3 linked regions of the Oreochromis niloticus genome follow. The protein of the gene in region 2 interacts with the protein of the main gene of each other region in a pairwise test. Links are inferred from orthologs where the notes say so. Each region holds a gene or a part of one and is shown on either strand. Other genes may lie near its edges.

Region 1 (4,981 bases), on a different chromosome or scaffold from region 2:
GAGAGAGAGAGAGAGAGAGAACCTATTTCCCTGTCTCCATCCACATACTGAAGGGTGGGTATGCCAGAGATTTGTGGGGGATGGGCCTGAAGTAGATACGAAGGAAGTGAATAGACTGAGAAATTGAGAGGGAAGGGGGTGGCATGCAAGGCAAGCACATGCTGAGCAGAACATTGGACTCATTGAGAAAAGCGCTCTCCATTCATGCTCTATCCAGTGCCCTATTCACCAAACTCCCGCTCTCCTCGTCATATATGTACAGTGTATTGACATGCATGTGCTCTCCGCTGATAACAAAGCCTTTGGAGTCATTTGATATGTGTGTTTGCTGTAAGTTATTTGAGATCCGCTGTGACCTAACAAACAGAGAGGTAGAATACACACAGAAGAAGGCGAAAGGTCCCCTTACAAGCACTTTCATGTCCCACTGCAATCTCAGAAATCTGTTTTCAATTGGATAGTAGCAGACCCATCAACTCCACATGGGTAGCTCATTTACAGGAGAACCCCTTGTGTGAAAGTGGGCTACCTTTGCATACTACCTACTGGAAGCCTAGGTTGTTTTTATCCGCATTCTCACACCCATGCAATCAACATCAGACGTTTGTCCATTTCACGGGAGCAACATCAAAGGTCGACATATTTAACTATAAGAATAAAAGAGCCAGCAGTAGCAGTAGGGGTGTTTTATGGCTCTTGCATGCGCTTACTCAAGGAACTCCTCTATGGTGGCATATTGTCAGGATGGGATAACTGAGTTGTCTTGTACTCAGATTAACGTTTGCTGAAATACAGCGACAGCTACTGCCTGTTCTCAACAGGTACAACGCAACGCTGCAGTGATATCATAGGAAAAATGAGTGAATAACATAAAAGCAATATTTTGTGCTTTTTTTTTAATGTGGCTAATATTTTTTTTATCATTAAGATAAAGCCATCAGTGAAATATTAAAAATAATATCCAAATGTTGGAATTTTTTTAGAAAAAATAAAATACAAATAAATCCCAAATGCTTAATAAAATTAAAAATCGTTTTTAGTGGGGTGTTTTTGTCATGGTAAACAGCACAAAACACAACCCTATACTATATTATTAACCATTAAACATTTAAGATGAAGGAAAAATTAAGACTACTTTTTTTTAAAATTTTAAAATATGGAAATTAGCTAATAAAAAACTCAGCTCAACAAAGTAAAAACAGATAACAAGGTGAAATAGCTTGGAAAGACTAAAGAATGGACTCAGTTAAAAAGAAAATATAAAAAGATAAAGAGATCAATAAATTAAAATTTAAATATGATACAACAAAGAGCTTGTGGGTGTAGATTTTCTGTATCTATGGTAAGTGGTGTAGATGGTGGTTGGGATCAATTCATTTAAAAAAGATATTCTAACAACAAATAGGTGATTTATGTAAAATGTCGTCTCAACAGATAGAAGCATTTCTGAAACATAAGAAACTGCACCAGGATCACAGCATCACACCCATGTTTTACAGTGTTATTTGCACAGAGGTTTATGCAGGTGAACTATTTACATGTATTACACTGATATTACAAACCTTAAACACATAGAAGATCAGTGTAGTACTGTACCTAAGATCTAAAACCAGAACTGAATTATTTTATGTAATATTCTGCAATACAGAGACAATTTTGTACATTTTCTTCCACTATATTATGATGATATTCATTTTGTTGTTAAACAAACGCATTACTGTGTTATTCATTTAGTAAATATTTAACTTTTCATTTTAATGCATTACTGGAGTCGTGTTTTACCTGCGTAAAGGATGTAAATCATTCCCGAGCTCAAAGGCAGCTTATGTTTACATTGGAGAAGGTCATAGTTCATTCACCATTTTACTGTGGAGACTGTGGTATGTGTTGGTTAAGTTAATGTAGTATGGGACAATATAAATACAGTAAGTAGTCATTCTTTCCTTGGTTCCTAAAAGTATATCCCGCCACTTAAAAACATGTTTTTATATTTTGTGATTGAACCTGGAGAATTAAAGGGATCCGTAAGTGGGTGGCGGGGGGGGGTTGGCCTGCTAGTAGTACTGTTGGTGGCCCACTTATATCTCCGCCCTCCAATGTTCCAGCTCCCATGAGGGCGGCTCTTTAAATTGCCCCAAAACTCCTCCTGGCTGGCGCCTTTTTCCTTTATCTGTAGGAGACAAGACGAGCACGTGCGCTATTTATAGGACGTCGTTGGAGTAAACTTTTCATCCTGCTGGTAATTTGTATTATTTTATTATTTAAAAATAAATCATTAAAAAATGTGTATATATATATTGACCCGCTCTTATTTTAATTCATAACTGTTTTTAAAGCGGCATGAGCTGGGATTTTAAAGGGGCGGGCTGTGTGTTGTCTGACGAATAAAAGCTGTAGCCTATAGATCAGAGCGAGGCTTTTTAACCGGGTACAACCAGCTAGGCTTAAAGGAAACATTTCGTCTTAAATATAGAGCAGAGGTTGCTACCGAGCGATAAAGGTGAGTGCACAAGAAAAAGACGTCGAAAGGCAAGCTAAAGTTTGCAAGCTACAACCGCCTAAATGCATTTTTACAGAGAGGGATCTCCGGCGAGAGGACGCTGCATGCTTTAGATGTGAAGCCGTCTTTTGTTGCTCCGGCCCGGGCTCTCGTTCCCGCAAATGAGCTCTGCTTGCATTTTCTATAGCACTCAAAAAATGGGTGCCGCCATGCAGGCTAGGGCTTTACCCTGCAAATCCAGACGAGCACACACTAGCCATTGTGTGTATGTGCATGTGTGTGTCGGCGGCGGCGGCGGCGGAGGAGGAGGGGGGGGGATATCTCTTCGTCGCCCCGGCGTGCAGACATGCTGCGAGTCTCATGCGCAGGCCCGATTGTTGGCTACAACAACTACAGCAAACGGGCCTCTAAACATGGTCGTGGAGGCAGGGGAGCGCCGGGTTCAGTAGTATTTTGCAGGTTTGCTCGGCCTCCGAACGCTTACTGAGTCCCGGCTGTACCCTGCAAGCCGGTTTGATCCCAATCCAGTGTTTGTGTGGCAGCGTCGGCTATGTAATGGAGCACGGTTGTGACAGAAATAGACCTGGAAATAAGCGCGGATTAATTGAGTTAAACGCGTTACCGGTGTGTGGGTAGGCCGGTCCCCCCCCTTTTTTTTTGTTTGCTGTTGCGGTCACTGAGTTTAATAGCCCGTGTATTTTTCTGTGTGTGAACTCGACGCCTCCCCTTGCTGCAAGAGTGACCGGTGTGATTTATGTCTTTAGGTCTGAAAAGCTACGCAAACATGAGCGACAAGGGGACAGTCTCACCGAAAGAGAAGGAAGCCACAGAGAAGAGAGGGCGTGGAAGACCCCGTAAGCAGCCGCAGGTAAAAACCTCTGACGTAAGTAGTCCCATTCTGTTCTTCTATTTATTGGAGAAAGTGTGCTGTTTTATTATTATTATCATTATCATTATTATTATTATTATTATTATTATTATTATTATTATTATTATTATTATTATTATTATTATTGCATCCCAGAAATTACAGTAAGGATGTATTTAATATTATTAAAAAGATGGGAGCAGATTTTTTTTTTTTTTTTTTAAACCCTTTAACTCAGGTCTGCTGCAGCTGATGCTCAGGTAGATATTATTGCAGCTGAGCTTCTCATGCATATCCCTCAATGAAATTAAGACTCCTGAAATGGCTGCAGCATGCCCTTGTGACCATTTGCCCCTTCCTTATCACTGTAAGGGAAGAACAACAAACTTGCCACATGTCTCACTGGTTTGTAAGCAACCTGTAACCTAAAGCCTTTAAACCAGATTTAACCCCCACGACCCACCTCTGCTCTCCATGTAATGGATGACATAGCAGAGTCGAAGCGCACAGTGGCTCATATACCTGTCACTCAGCCAGCTGTGTTTTTACTATTGAATTGCTCGGTTGCTATGAGCTGCGGTTGTAAACACAGCAGAAATGCAACAGGAGGCGCGTCAGCCATGACGAAGCTTACAACCACACATGAATACGATAACTCACCTCGAGCTGAATGTACCTTGCTTTTTTGCATGTGACGGTAATCCCCTAAGTGCTTACTGTTGCATATTTCCCTTAATGACACATCTGTTATTTGTGAACTTGTATCTGCTGGACCATGGCAACCTTTTTAGCATTTAATGCACATAAGTTGCAATGTCTTTACCTGAGAGAGCTTTTTGTTTTTTGTATGTCTATAATTTGATTTGAAAACCTTGATCAATATACCTTGATCAATATAAACCAGATTTTTAAGAGCTTATGTTGATAAAATATTGTCCAGATGTTGTATACTACCCTAACTTTGTATTGATTGTGATTGCCAGGAACCAAGTGGGTCCCCTACTCCAAAGAGGCCCAGAGGACGGCCGAAGGGCAGCAAAAACAAGACAACCGGCAAGGGCAAAGTAAGTCAATGCAGTCTGCAGACGTGTTTTCACATAGTGACAGTGAGTTCAGCAGCAACGAGCGCACATCCTGATCCGGAATAGCTGCAATTCCAAGATGGGCAGTCGGCGTGGCATTTGTTGTAAATTTGTTTCTTGCAAGTGCTTTGTCTTTTTCTCCAAACCCCTGATTCCTTTTGGTTGATGAACATTTTAACGGTAGCTAACCTCATCCTTGTAAAAGGATGTCCTGCTGTTACTTGAGATATATTTGTTGGCTGTAATCTGGCTGCTTCCCCCTTGTGGTGTCAGAAATAGCTTGGCTAGGGTTTCCCATTGTAAAGACCTTGGTTTACTGCCTCACACTTTTTCTTTTTTTTTTTTGTTGGTGATGCTCACCCTCTACTTCCTGTCCTCCAGCTTCCTGCAGCTTGTCATGCAAAGTGTGGTGCAGGTGCAGAGGCCGCAAGACTGTTTCCAAGCTGACACTAAGCACCCCTCCGCCCCCACCCAGCACACAGCCCTAGTTCTTCTCTGCCTGTCGTTACCATAGCAACAACTGATTTTTCT
Region 2 (4,981 bases):
AGGGTGGGGGTGGGAAGGGGTGCAGTTTGTATGAGGTGGAGCGGGGGAGGAGAGCAGCAACAACAAAAGAGAGGAGGCTGCACTCTCATTTATTATTACAGTCCTGATTTACAGTCAGCCTGGAAGGTCAGAAGTATACCAGCTCGAGCTCACTGCGGGAGCCCTACAGTAATTGCTGGGTGCATTTAGTTCAAGGGACATCCACTGGAGTCATCATCTCCATCGCGAGCAGCCATGCAGCGCCCGAGAGCTACTCGATACATCCCCTCAATGTCATTTTCCGATTTATTTATCCTTTGCATAAAGTGTCACTGGGCTGATTATCATCATTCAGGCCCTGTCCTCATGCTTATCTCTTCCACAACTGATGGTGTCATGCCTGCCATCCATCACTTCCCTCGCATACTTTATCATGCCGCCTGATGGATGCAAACTAACGGCTCAGATTTTCACTCTGCCCTCCGTCTCCTTTATCCCACCTCCACACCCCCACCCCAAAATCCCCACATCTATCCATCTATCAGTCCCCAGTCACACCTCTTTCCCTCTCCTCTAATCCACTCGCACACTATGCCCAATTAAACCACGATCCTTGCTTTCCTCTCTTTATCCTCCACGTGCAACCTTCGGTGCACTCTCTTTCTCTTGCTGTAGCCTCATCCTCCCTTTTATTCCATTTACACGACCCCACCCCGACCCCAACAATCAATACAACCGATGGGCAGCGAGAATCCACAACATGCCGCCCTGCTCATTGTCACATCATCTTTGCCAGCGGGCTATAACCTTTTGCCATCATCAACATCCATCCTCTGTGAGGCTCACTGAGCATCACAGCATCACACTTGGACCTTTCTGTCTTTGCAGTGGGTCAGCTGCACAGCCCATTGAAGCATTTTACCAGTTTCCCCGGGATTCAATTACCTGCAGACGACCTCAAGTCGTTTCCGCCTGCCCTTCGACTACCGTTAGAGCAGTTTTCCTGGTCTTTAAAAAAAAAAAAAAAAAAAAAAAAAACAGACATCAGCTGAAATTTTTCTCTTGTACTATTGCATTACGGGGGCACTTCAAAGCATGTGTGTGTAGGTGTAGGAATGATGCGTGCTGTGTGTTTGCAAGAGAGAAATAAATAGCAAGAGATCCAGGCAGAACAAGTGAGAGGTGCACCCTTCGCCTCGGCAGTTCTTTAGTTTACTGTAACGTACACAGGTTGGTCCGGGGAGGCAGGAACGGTCGCTGATGCTTTGCTGTCTCAGCATTTGAGTCATAAAAGCAAGGGAAGACCCGTGTTAAGGAGGCCCCCCAGAGACCCTTCGCTCCTTCAAGCTCAAAAAAAGGCTCTGTTCTTTGTCTTTCTCTGTGGTGACCCCTCCCCCAATCCTTGTCTGCCTCTCTCTTTTAACACCTAGCGACAATCTGGGGGGGGGGACACGGAGCCATTAAATGCCCTCCATGTGTGTGTCAGGACTCACTGACAAATTATCCGCACATTTCAAAGTAATTTCATCCACATAAGTATAAAAATACAAAATCCCTCGCAACATGTGACAAAGCATTGGTTTACCTTCTGTGAGGCAGGCATGATGAATGGCTCTGATCTTTGCCGTGGTGTCTGGGACTGTCATAGCAATGGAGCCTGGATCATATTACCTTTGTCTGGTTTGGTCAGAGCAGCACCAAGAGGAACAAACAGCAAGCCTCGATAATCACAGCAAGCAACGCGTTTACTACTGAGACACTTTTCCTGCGTTTGGCTTGTTTTAATTAAAGGATTTGCTGTTGCACCCATGCATGATTATCTAGAGGGGGAAATGCGTGGGGGGGGGGGCTGTCAAAAACATCATCATCCTTCCTAGCTGATGCTTAGAAACAAACAGAAAAAACAGCGAAGAAGGAAAAGGAGGGCGGATGATACTGAGTTCAGTGAGCAGCATTTGTAACAGATGGAAACAAAACGACACAGATGTGAGAAACATATCCTTTGTGTTTACACTGCATTCATACCTGGCCAATGTCACCAACAACACTCCCGGTCCCGTCTATCCTTGGTCTTTTGCACTCCGCCCCGGACAAGTCAGTGAGGGCAGCGGCAGTCTGAGCGTCGGGCTCCGGATCGCCTCTCTTCATCCCTCGGACCACGGCTGGACCCCCGGCCGCGTTTGCATGGGGTCCGGCTGCTGTATCAATGTCCCTTTCCCGGTCCATTATTCCCCGACTAACGGGTAGCATAATAGATGCAACGTCGGTCGACATTAACATTGGACGGGAGACAGTCACCAGTCAAAAGTCTCTTTGGCTTTTTCTTTTCTTTTGTTACCTTTGCCTTCTCCTTTGGGTTTGTCAACGGCTCGATATTCACAATGGATTTGGCTTTTCCCAGACGGATAATATTGAACGGATTTTCATCAATATACACAAGCTTACACTGTTTATTGTCTAACTTAGCCTTAGCTATGCGAGACAAACCTTTAAAACCATGGCAGAATCAAGCAAAAAGGACATTAAGTACAGTTGTCCCTCTCTTTTTCCCCCCTGAAAAAAGAAAAACGACGACAGTGTCCTATTTTAATAAAGATCACACGTCCGACTCTCGGATGCCTGACAAGCTAATTAGCTAGCTAACATCGGCTAGCCTGCTAGCATTACATTCCGCTAGCTCTCTTTATAAATGTGGCTCGGAGAGCACACTCTCGCTGCCAAGAATAGAAAATGTTGGAAATTAGCTTCGAGTAATACTACTCCTTCTGCGGGGCCAGCCAGTCACCCTCTCCTCTCGCCCCTAAACGTGTGGGGTTTTTTCTTTTGCAGTGAACTCCTCTGTGGTTCCTACCAGCTTTCCCCTTGAATTCTCTCCCTTCTTGTCCGTTCCCTCGCCTCGGTCTGCTGTGGATGAGTCTTGGCGTGCGTACCTTGGCTACCGACGAACACGATTTCCTCTGGTCTCAGTCCCAGTTGGTGTAACTCGTAGTGTGGAGGGAGCGCGAGTGCGCTGATCTGCGGTCAGATTTGCCCGTGAACACCGGGCTCGCGGACAGGGGGGAGTGAGGTAAGGCGGGCTGGTCTGAGGTCTGCCTTTCCTCGGTCTCCTTCTCCTCCTTTTTTCCCTCCTGATCCCACCACCTCACAGCTCCCTCCTCCTCTGCCCTCAGTTATTATGTGTGCCTATGACAAGAGGCACACATATTACTATTCGTCGGATTTATTATTATGTGTGCCTATGCCAAGAGGCACACATATTACTATTCGTCGGATTTATTATTCTTATTATTATTATTCTCCATCTTCCGCCTAAATTTCGGCACGTATCACGCCCCGCAGTTTTGAGACAAGCTTCATATATGTTACCTCATTTTGTGTGGCCGGATCTGGAATGGTGTGCTATGACTTTTGGTGTTTATGAATTTTATAGTTTTTTAAATATTAATATTTTAGTGAAAATTTTCCCGCGCTCCTCTGCCAAACAGTTTTGACATTAGGATTACATATCTTAGATCATTTTGTGCGGCTGGAGCTGGACTATTATGTTGTGACTTTTGGTGTTTATGACTTTTATAGTTTTTTAAATATTAATATTTTAGTACAAATTTAGGCCAATTCATCTTTTGGCGCCAAATAAACAGACTTCATTTGTGGTGTCTTGGCTCTCTCTAGTGGTATACCGGGAGTAGTACAGCCGAAAAGATTTATCCTTGTGTTGAAAACTCCATATCCCACAATTCATAGCACGCCTCTACAGAGTGAACAATGGCGGCCACCACTTCGTTTTATATGTCTTTTATTCATGTTTCTAGGTCACAAAATAAACTTTTAAGATATTTTCAGGCGAGAATGTAGGTGTGTAAACTTCAAATATCTGCTTGTTTTATCAAGACATCCCATATTTAGCGACAGTGCTCTGACGACGTCGGTCCTGCCTGACAGCTAGCCGGCTACCTAGCTAGCTGCCGCACTTGGCTGCAAATGGATAGCGAGGGGACTCTCTCTGTCGTTTCACCTCCCCGGTCTCTCGCAAATGCTCGCACAGAATCGGAGTTACAGCTGGATGTGGAAAAAATAACTGAGTTGTTTGGTGGTGCTATAATGCGGAGCTACAACAGTGGGCAGCTATCCACCGGTGTATGACAGAAAGGACATGCCGCGACCGCCGATCGACCGGTGTTTGCTAATGCGGAGGTCAATCGTGGATCAGGGAAAGCGAAGGCAGGAGCGTGAGGTGAACTGAATTTCAGGTAAGAAGTTATGACCTGCACTCTATTTGGGTCAGATATAAACCGAGTTTAGGTGTAGTTTATTTAGCAGCAGTTCTCTTATGTGTTGCTGATAGCCGGCTAGCTAGCTAGCGCCGCTAGCATAGTTAGCTAGCACCGCTAGCGACCCTTCATGAAAAAGCACCCAGGCTTGGCTTATATTGAGGCGGGTGAAACTCGTGTCAGCACCCGGTCGCTCGCCGACAGTATGTGTTTTAGCTGGACTTATTTTTCGTTTATATGGACCGATGATTTATTTATTTATTCATTTTAGTAACGGTATAAACAGTGAAAGGTGGTGGATTGGCCAGATGTAAACTTCAAATATCTGCTCGTGTTACCAAGACATCCCATATTAGCTCTGATGTTTTCGGTGCCTGCAAAGAGCTAGACAGGTAGCTAGCTAACCCGAGCTGGCTGTCTTTTTGACTCAGGGTCATAGCTGGACTTATTTTTCGTTTTTATGAGCCGATGAGGGTTTTTTTTTAGTAACGGTACAAACAGTGAAAGGCGGTGGATTGTCCAGATGCTGGTCGATGTGGAAAAAATAACTGAATTGTTTGGTAGTCGCTGACGCGGAGCTACAACCGAGGGCAGCTATCCACCGGTGTGTGTCAGAAAGAACATGCGGGGAACGAGGCGGCGAGGCGACCGCCGATCGACCGGTGGTAGATCGTGGATCAGGGAAACCGAAGGCAGGAGAAGCAGGCGGCTGCCGGTCGGAGCGTGAGGTG
Region 3 (4,981 bases), on a different chromosome or scaffold from region 2:
CTACTTGTCGTGTAGGTGGGCCTGACACCATTGAAACCATATCACCAACCTGAAAGAGACAAATTTGGACAGGGAGGGTTCGAGATGACGCTCGTCCATTTTACATGATCTCAGTAAGACATGAAGCATTCTGCACACACAGACTCATGTTTGTGAACCTGAGGTGGAGCAGCCATGGGTTGGATGGGCTGAGAGGGTCCCTGAGGCATTGGGCCCTGCAGGGAAGGAGGGAGCATCATGGGTGGAGGTGGAGGAGGTCGAGGCAAAGGAGGTGCTACTGGAGGACCACGCATCATCTGTAACCTCTGACCACCTGACAACACAGAGTCAAACCCACAATCCAAGTTCAGCTGGGACAAACTTCATCTACACTGGTTTTTGAAACCATTTCAATGCTTCCCAACACTCTGCAAACCCAACTGATTGGTTTGGGTCTTAGAGAGTTTTCAGCAGATTCCTTTAAACTCCGTCTTCGGGTGGAGTTAAAGTGATAAGCCTGTGCTGTATTAATACCCTGTCCTGAAACACTGACCATCAGGTCTGCATGTTCTGTTTGCTTGTTATAACTCCAAATAAGGCAGATTTCATACACTATATGCTACATGTAATGTTCAGACACATCCACAAGGCAAAAACACCAAGTTTTCAAAAATTACCTGGTCTTTGCAGAATATGTGGAACAAAAGCCGGTCTCATCATGGGAGGAGGAGGACGTACTGGAGGAACTGACACAGACACAGAGTGAGCACAGCGTGGCGGCATCTGAAATACTGCTTAAGCCTCTAAACTTTGCTCAGTGCACACATAAATGAGTCTTAGCCAACATGAACCAAAAACAATCACAATAATGTAGATATACAAAAAGCTGGATGGCGTTTAAAAGAAATGGACCCACGTCTCTGCCTCCGCCTGTATATTCACTGTTTTTGCTGTGGGCGGGTAACTGGGGGGTCTTTTTTGAGGAAACAGCTGATATCGTTATCCATTCCAGCTACAGCCTACAGCTTTCATCAGCTTTGGTTTCCATCCAAATTTGTTGAAACACAAACCAAACCACTGAACCACGAGCTGGCAGCAACTGTCAGCGTGCGTCGAGGTGAGGAAGAGTTTTTACTGGATGGTGACACTCTTGTCATGTGAGCATTTGTCTTTACCTGGTCCCACAAAGGCTTGTGGTGGAGGTCCAACAAAAGTTGCAGCTCTGGCTTCTAATGTCTGCTGGACCTGAGAAAGACCACAGAGTGTGTGAGCGAGAGAGGGTGCTGTTTTTATTAATCGCATCAAGATCAATACTTCTATAACACACAAACCTGTCTGTAGGTGTTGGTTCCTATAATGGGTCGCACCACTGGAACTGTTGGGACAGCCAGAGCTACAGGTACTGCCTCCATGACAGGTGGACTTCCTGATACTGGTACTGGACCACCGAGAACCTCCTGCTCAAAGCTAGAGAAGCAGAGTGATGTTTGTATTGGATTTCATTTTTAACAGTGTTCTAGCATTCTTCCTCCTCCAAACACTCAATTTTGGTCTCATCTGACCACAACACTTCAAACGGGCCTGTATGTGGGCTTTCCTGAGCATGGAGACCTCGCGAGCATAGGAGGATTTCAGCCCTGTCACCTTCTCAGCCAGCAGCTTGGTGATGGTCTTGTAGCCCATTTCTTGTGTAGGTCCACAATCTTCACCCTTACATCCTTGGAAACTTCTTGGTCTTAGCCATGGTGCAGAGTTTGGAATCTGGATAGATTGATTGCGTCTATGAACAGCTCTCTTTTATACAGGTAACGAGTTGAGAAGGCTCCTAATGTCAGCTCGTTACCTGTATAAAATACACCTGGGAGGCAGAAATCTTGCTGATTGACAGTGGATCAAATATTTATTTCATTCATCAAAATACTAATTTATTTATAACTTTTCTGAAATGCATTGTTTTGGTTATTGTTCTGTCTCTCACTGTTCAAATAAACCTACCACTAAAATTATAGACTGATCATTTCTTTGTTTGTGAGCAAACTTACAAAATCAGCTAGGGTTCAAATGTTTCCCTGACTGCATCTATCAAACTCAGCCCTTCACTTCATTTTATGTGCAAACAAGCTTTTCCACCAGAAAGTTCCATTCAGCACAGCACACATTTGTGTAAATGCAGCAAATGCACATGGCCACACTAACAGATGGCCGATACACAAAGCTGTGGAAATAAACTGGAATAAAAGTCATGAAACATCCTTCAGGTGTAACAGTGAAGAGCAAAGTGAGTAATCTGTGGATCACAGATAAACTAGTAAAGAGAAAGGGCAGCAGCTCTATACGCTCACTGGCCGTTTTGTTAGGTACAAGTGTTCACCTGATTTTTAATACAATTATCTATTGACATGCCTGCAACTCAATACATTTAGTTTTGTAAAGACTATCAAGATGACTGCTGATTCAAAGCAAACACCAGAATGAGGAAAACTGGAAATTTCACTGAGTTTGAATGTGGCTGGATGCGGATGTCAGCTGGGATTTTCCTGCACAGCTGCCTGAGGGGTTACCTGCACACTGGATGCATCTGTGTCTCTTCCCAGAGGCAAACTGGGATCTTTTGTTTGTTAGGCAAATGGGCACTACAACACTAGTTTAATTTTGTTATTGTGATATTTAAAGTGAAGTGTTTCGACTGCAATAGTTTGATCATGTGCAGCGAAACCTGCTGTTGGCATGACCTGAATACTGTCTGAGTGAAGCACCTTGCTAATACTGAAAGGCCTGAGGACACACTCATGCATCCTCGCGTCGACATGCAAACAATCACGGAGTTCACATCAAAAACCTGCGACGTAATCTAAGAGGTGCTAGTACAGCTCTGCGGCGTGTATGTGCAGTGAGGATGTTCCGGGCTGACTGGTTGTACTTACAGCGCCATCTCAGCCTCCATCTCCTTCAGACGCTCCTCGCCGGACTTGAGCGCCATGCTGTGACACAAACACAGCAGACATGAGCTCAGCGGTACAACAGCTGCATTCAGAAAAGTGCCTCCGTCTCCACACGGCTGACCAGTGTAACTCTTACCTTCAGCTGGAGTTTGTACGCTGCCTACGATGACAGACTGGGCTACAAGCTAACAAGTAATGTTTAGCTTATTAGGCTCGAGCTAAACCAGCAACGAGCCCGTTTCTGCTGCTGTTCTCAGCCCACTCACTTACCGCACTAACCCACTTCCACACTAACAGTAGTAACCAACTAAAGAGGAATGGGATTATGCACTAACAAATACACATTCACGGGCTACTGAGCCACCGTCCTAACGTTCTTCTGCTTTGCCTTCTTCTTCGTCTTCTTGATGTTGAGCGATTGACAAACAGCGAAACGGTGCATTAGCGCCACCAACTGGTAGGGCGTGTGAATCACGTTGCTAAACCGAAACAAACGAGTCTTAAATAACTTTAAGTCAGCTTTCATTCTTCTAACCCTTCTCTCAGCTTCACAGTGTAATACAGCTTGCTCTATGGTTTCCTCTTCTGTACAGCACTCACATTTGTCTGAATCACGTTTGGCTGTTATGAATAATGTTTAAAACTGTGTGATATAAATTGTGACATGACTGTCTCCTCTCTCCTGTTCCTTCCTGTGCTTCTCATTCTCCAGTTTTCCTTTGGCATTTGGAAATCTGGTGTCCTCTCCTTTCATCGTCTCATGTTTCCTTTACTTCATAAAGTGCTGGAAAAATAACTGTATATCCCATTATATGAACCCTGTAGTTTTTAAACAAAGGTCAGACAGAAATCTTGTGTGAGATATAATTACATTTTTTTAGTTTACACTCAAAGCTGTTCCAGTTAAATTAAGTCAAAATTAGACTTTTGATTTTTAATACAGCACAATAATAAAATAACTAAGTTGCTTAGACTACCCCTCCCGATTTCACCTGGATGATCAGCTAATCCTGTGGATATTGGACTTTTTGACCAACAGGACAGAAAGTTTGGGTCAACAACTCTCTTTCTGGTCTCCGTTCCACCTCCACTGGCTCCCCCCAGGGCTGTGTGCTCTCCCCCCTGCTCTTCATCCTCTACACCGATGACTGCACATCCACACTGCCCAACTGTCACCTGGTGAAATATGCTGACGACACAGTTCTCCTGTCGTAGCTGTCAGGCCCCTCACAACACCACGGGCCCGCTCTTCAGGAGTTTGTAGAGCAGTGTGACAGCTCCAAACTTGAACTGAACGTGAGCAAAACCAAAGAGATGGTGGTGACCTTCTCCAGTAGGCAGAGGGATCTGGCTGCTTCAGTCACCACCACCATCCATGGGAAGCCAGTGGAGGTAGTTGAGGAGTACAAATACCTGGGAACCATCTTTGACAACCTCCTGAACTTCTCTGCCAACACAGAGGAGATTCTCAGGAGGTGCCACCAACGGCTATATCTCCCTAGGAAACTCAACTCCTTTGGAGTCAGCACACCCATCATGATGACTTTCTACTATGCCTTCCTGGAAAGCATCATGACGTTCTCCATCACCTGCTGGTTCCACTCCCTCAGCCTTCAGAACAGGAACAGACTGCAGCACACGGCATCAGTGTGCTCTAAAATCATTGGCCTGCCTGTCAGAACTCTGGCACAGGTTTTCAGCCAACAGGCCCTTAGACAGGCAGCCAAAATCATCCATGACCCCTCTCACATTCTTCACCCCGCATTTCAATGGCTCCCCTCTGGGCGACGCCTCCGCTGCATTTCCTGCAGGACTGAGAGGAGGAGAGCCACCTTTGTCCCCAAAGCCACTCTGCTTTTTAACTCCAGCCGATAAGAACATTTCCCGCACCCATAAACATAAACTACTCTATGATCTTTATGTAATGGCGTGAGCCCATCAGAGATCTGGTGGGTGTGAAAGACACCACGGGTGATCCTCCAGCATGACTAAGATTCACAAACAGACTGAAGTTTTGGTTCAACATGACCTGATCGATGTCTGAGCCCACAAACTCAGAG

The links.
Region 1: the proteins of RNA binding protein fox-1 homolog 2 (region 2) and hmga1a interact in a two-hybrid assay, tested with the Homo sapiens proteins (2 studies listed by BioGRID and IntAct, with this or other methods). The link is inferred for Oreochromis niloticus from reciprocal best matches to the Homo sapiens genes RBFOX2 and HMGA1.
Region 3: the proteins of RNA binding protein fox-1 homolog 2 (region 2) and rbm42 interact in a two-hybrid assay, tested with the Homo sapiens proteins (2 studies listed by BioGRID and IntAct). The link is inferred for Oreochromis niloticus from reciprocal best matches to the Homo sapiens genes RBFOX2 and RBM42.

Annotation. Positions count from the first base shown.
Region 1 is NC_031984.2:12,118,264-12,123,244, forward strand, and holds the start of hmga1a (high mobility group AT-hook 1a), read left to right. Parts: upstream 1-2,086; 5' UTR 2,087-2,239; intron 2,240-2,330; exon of another isoform or gene 2,331-2,500; intron 2,501-2,564; exon of another isoform or gene 2,565-2,959; intron 2,960-3,264; 5' UTR 3,265-3,284; coding exon 3,285-3,383; intron 3,384-4,351; coding exon 4,352-4,432; intron 4,433-4,981. UniProt on the Homo sapiens protein: HMG-I/Y bind preferentially to the minor groove of A+T rich regions in double-stranded DNA. It is suggested that these proteins could function in nucleosome phasing and in the 3'-end processing of mRNA transcripts.
Region 2 is NC_031969.2:9,183,180-9,188,160, forward strand, and holds the start of RNA binding protein fox-1 homolog 2, read right to left. Parts: upstream 3,106-4,981; 5' UTR 2,260-3,105; coding exon 2,005-2,259; intron 1-2,004. UniProt on the Homo sapiens protein: RNA-binding protein that regulates alternative splicing events by binding to 5'-UGCAUGU-3' elements. Prevents binding of U2AF2 to the 3'-splice site.
Region 3 is NC_031976.2:1,904,740-1,909,720, forward strand, and holds the start of rbm42 (RNA-binding protein 42), read right to left. Parts: upstream 3,313-4,981; 5' UTR 3,058-3,312; intron 2,961-3,057; 5' UTR 2,960-2,960; coding exon 2,904-2,959; intron 2,842-2,903; exon of another isoform or gene 1,624-2,841; intron 1,447-1,623; coding exon 1,311-1,446; intron 1,225-1,310; coding exon 1,155-1,224; intron 726-1,154; coding exon 657-725; intron 314-656; coding exon 159-313; intron 50-158; coding exon 1-49. UniProt on the Homo sapiens protein: Binds (via the RRM domain) to the 3'-untranslated region (UTR) of CDKN1A mRNA.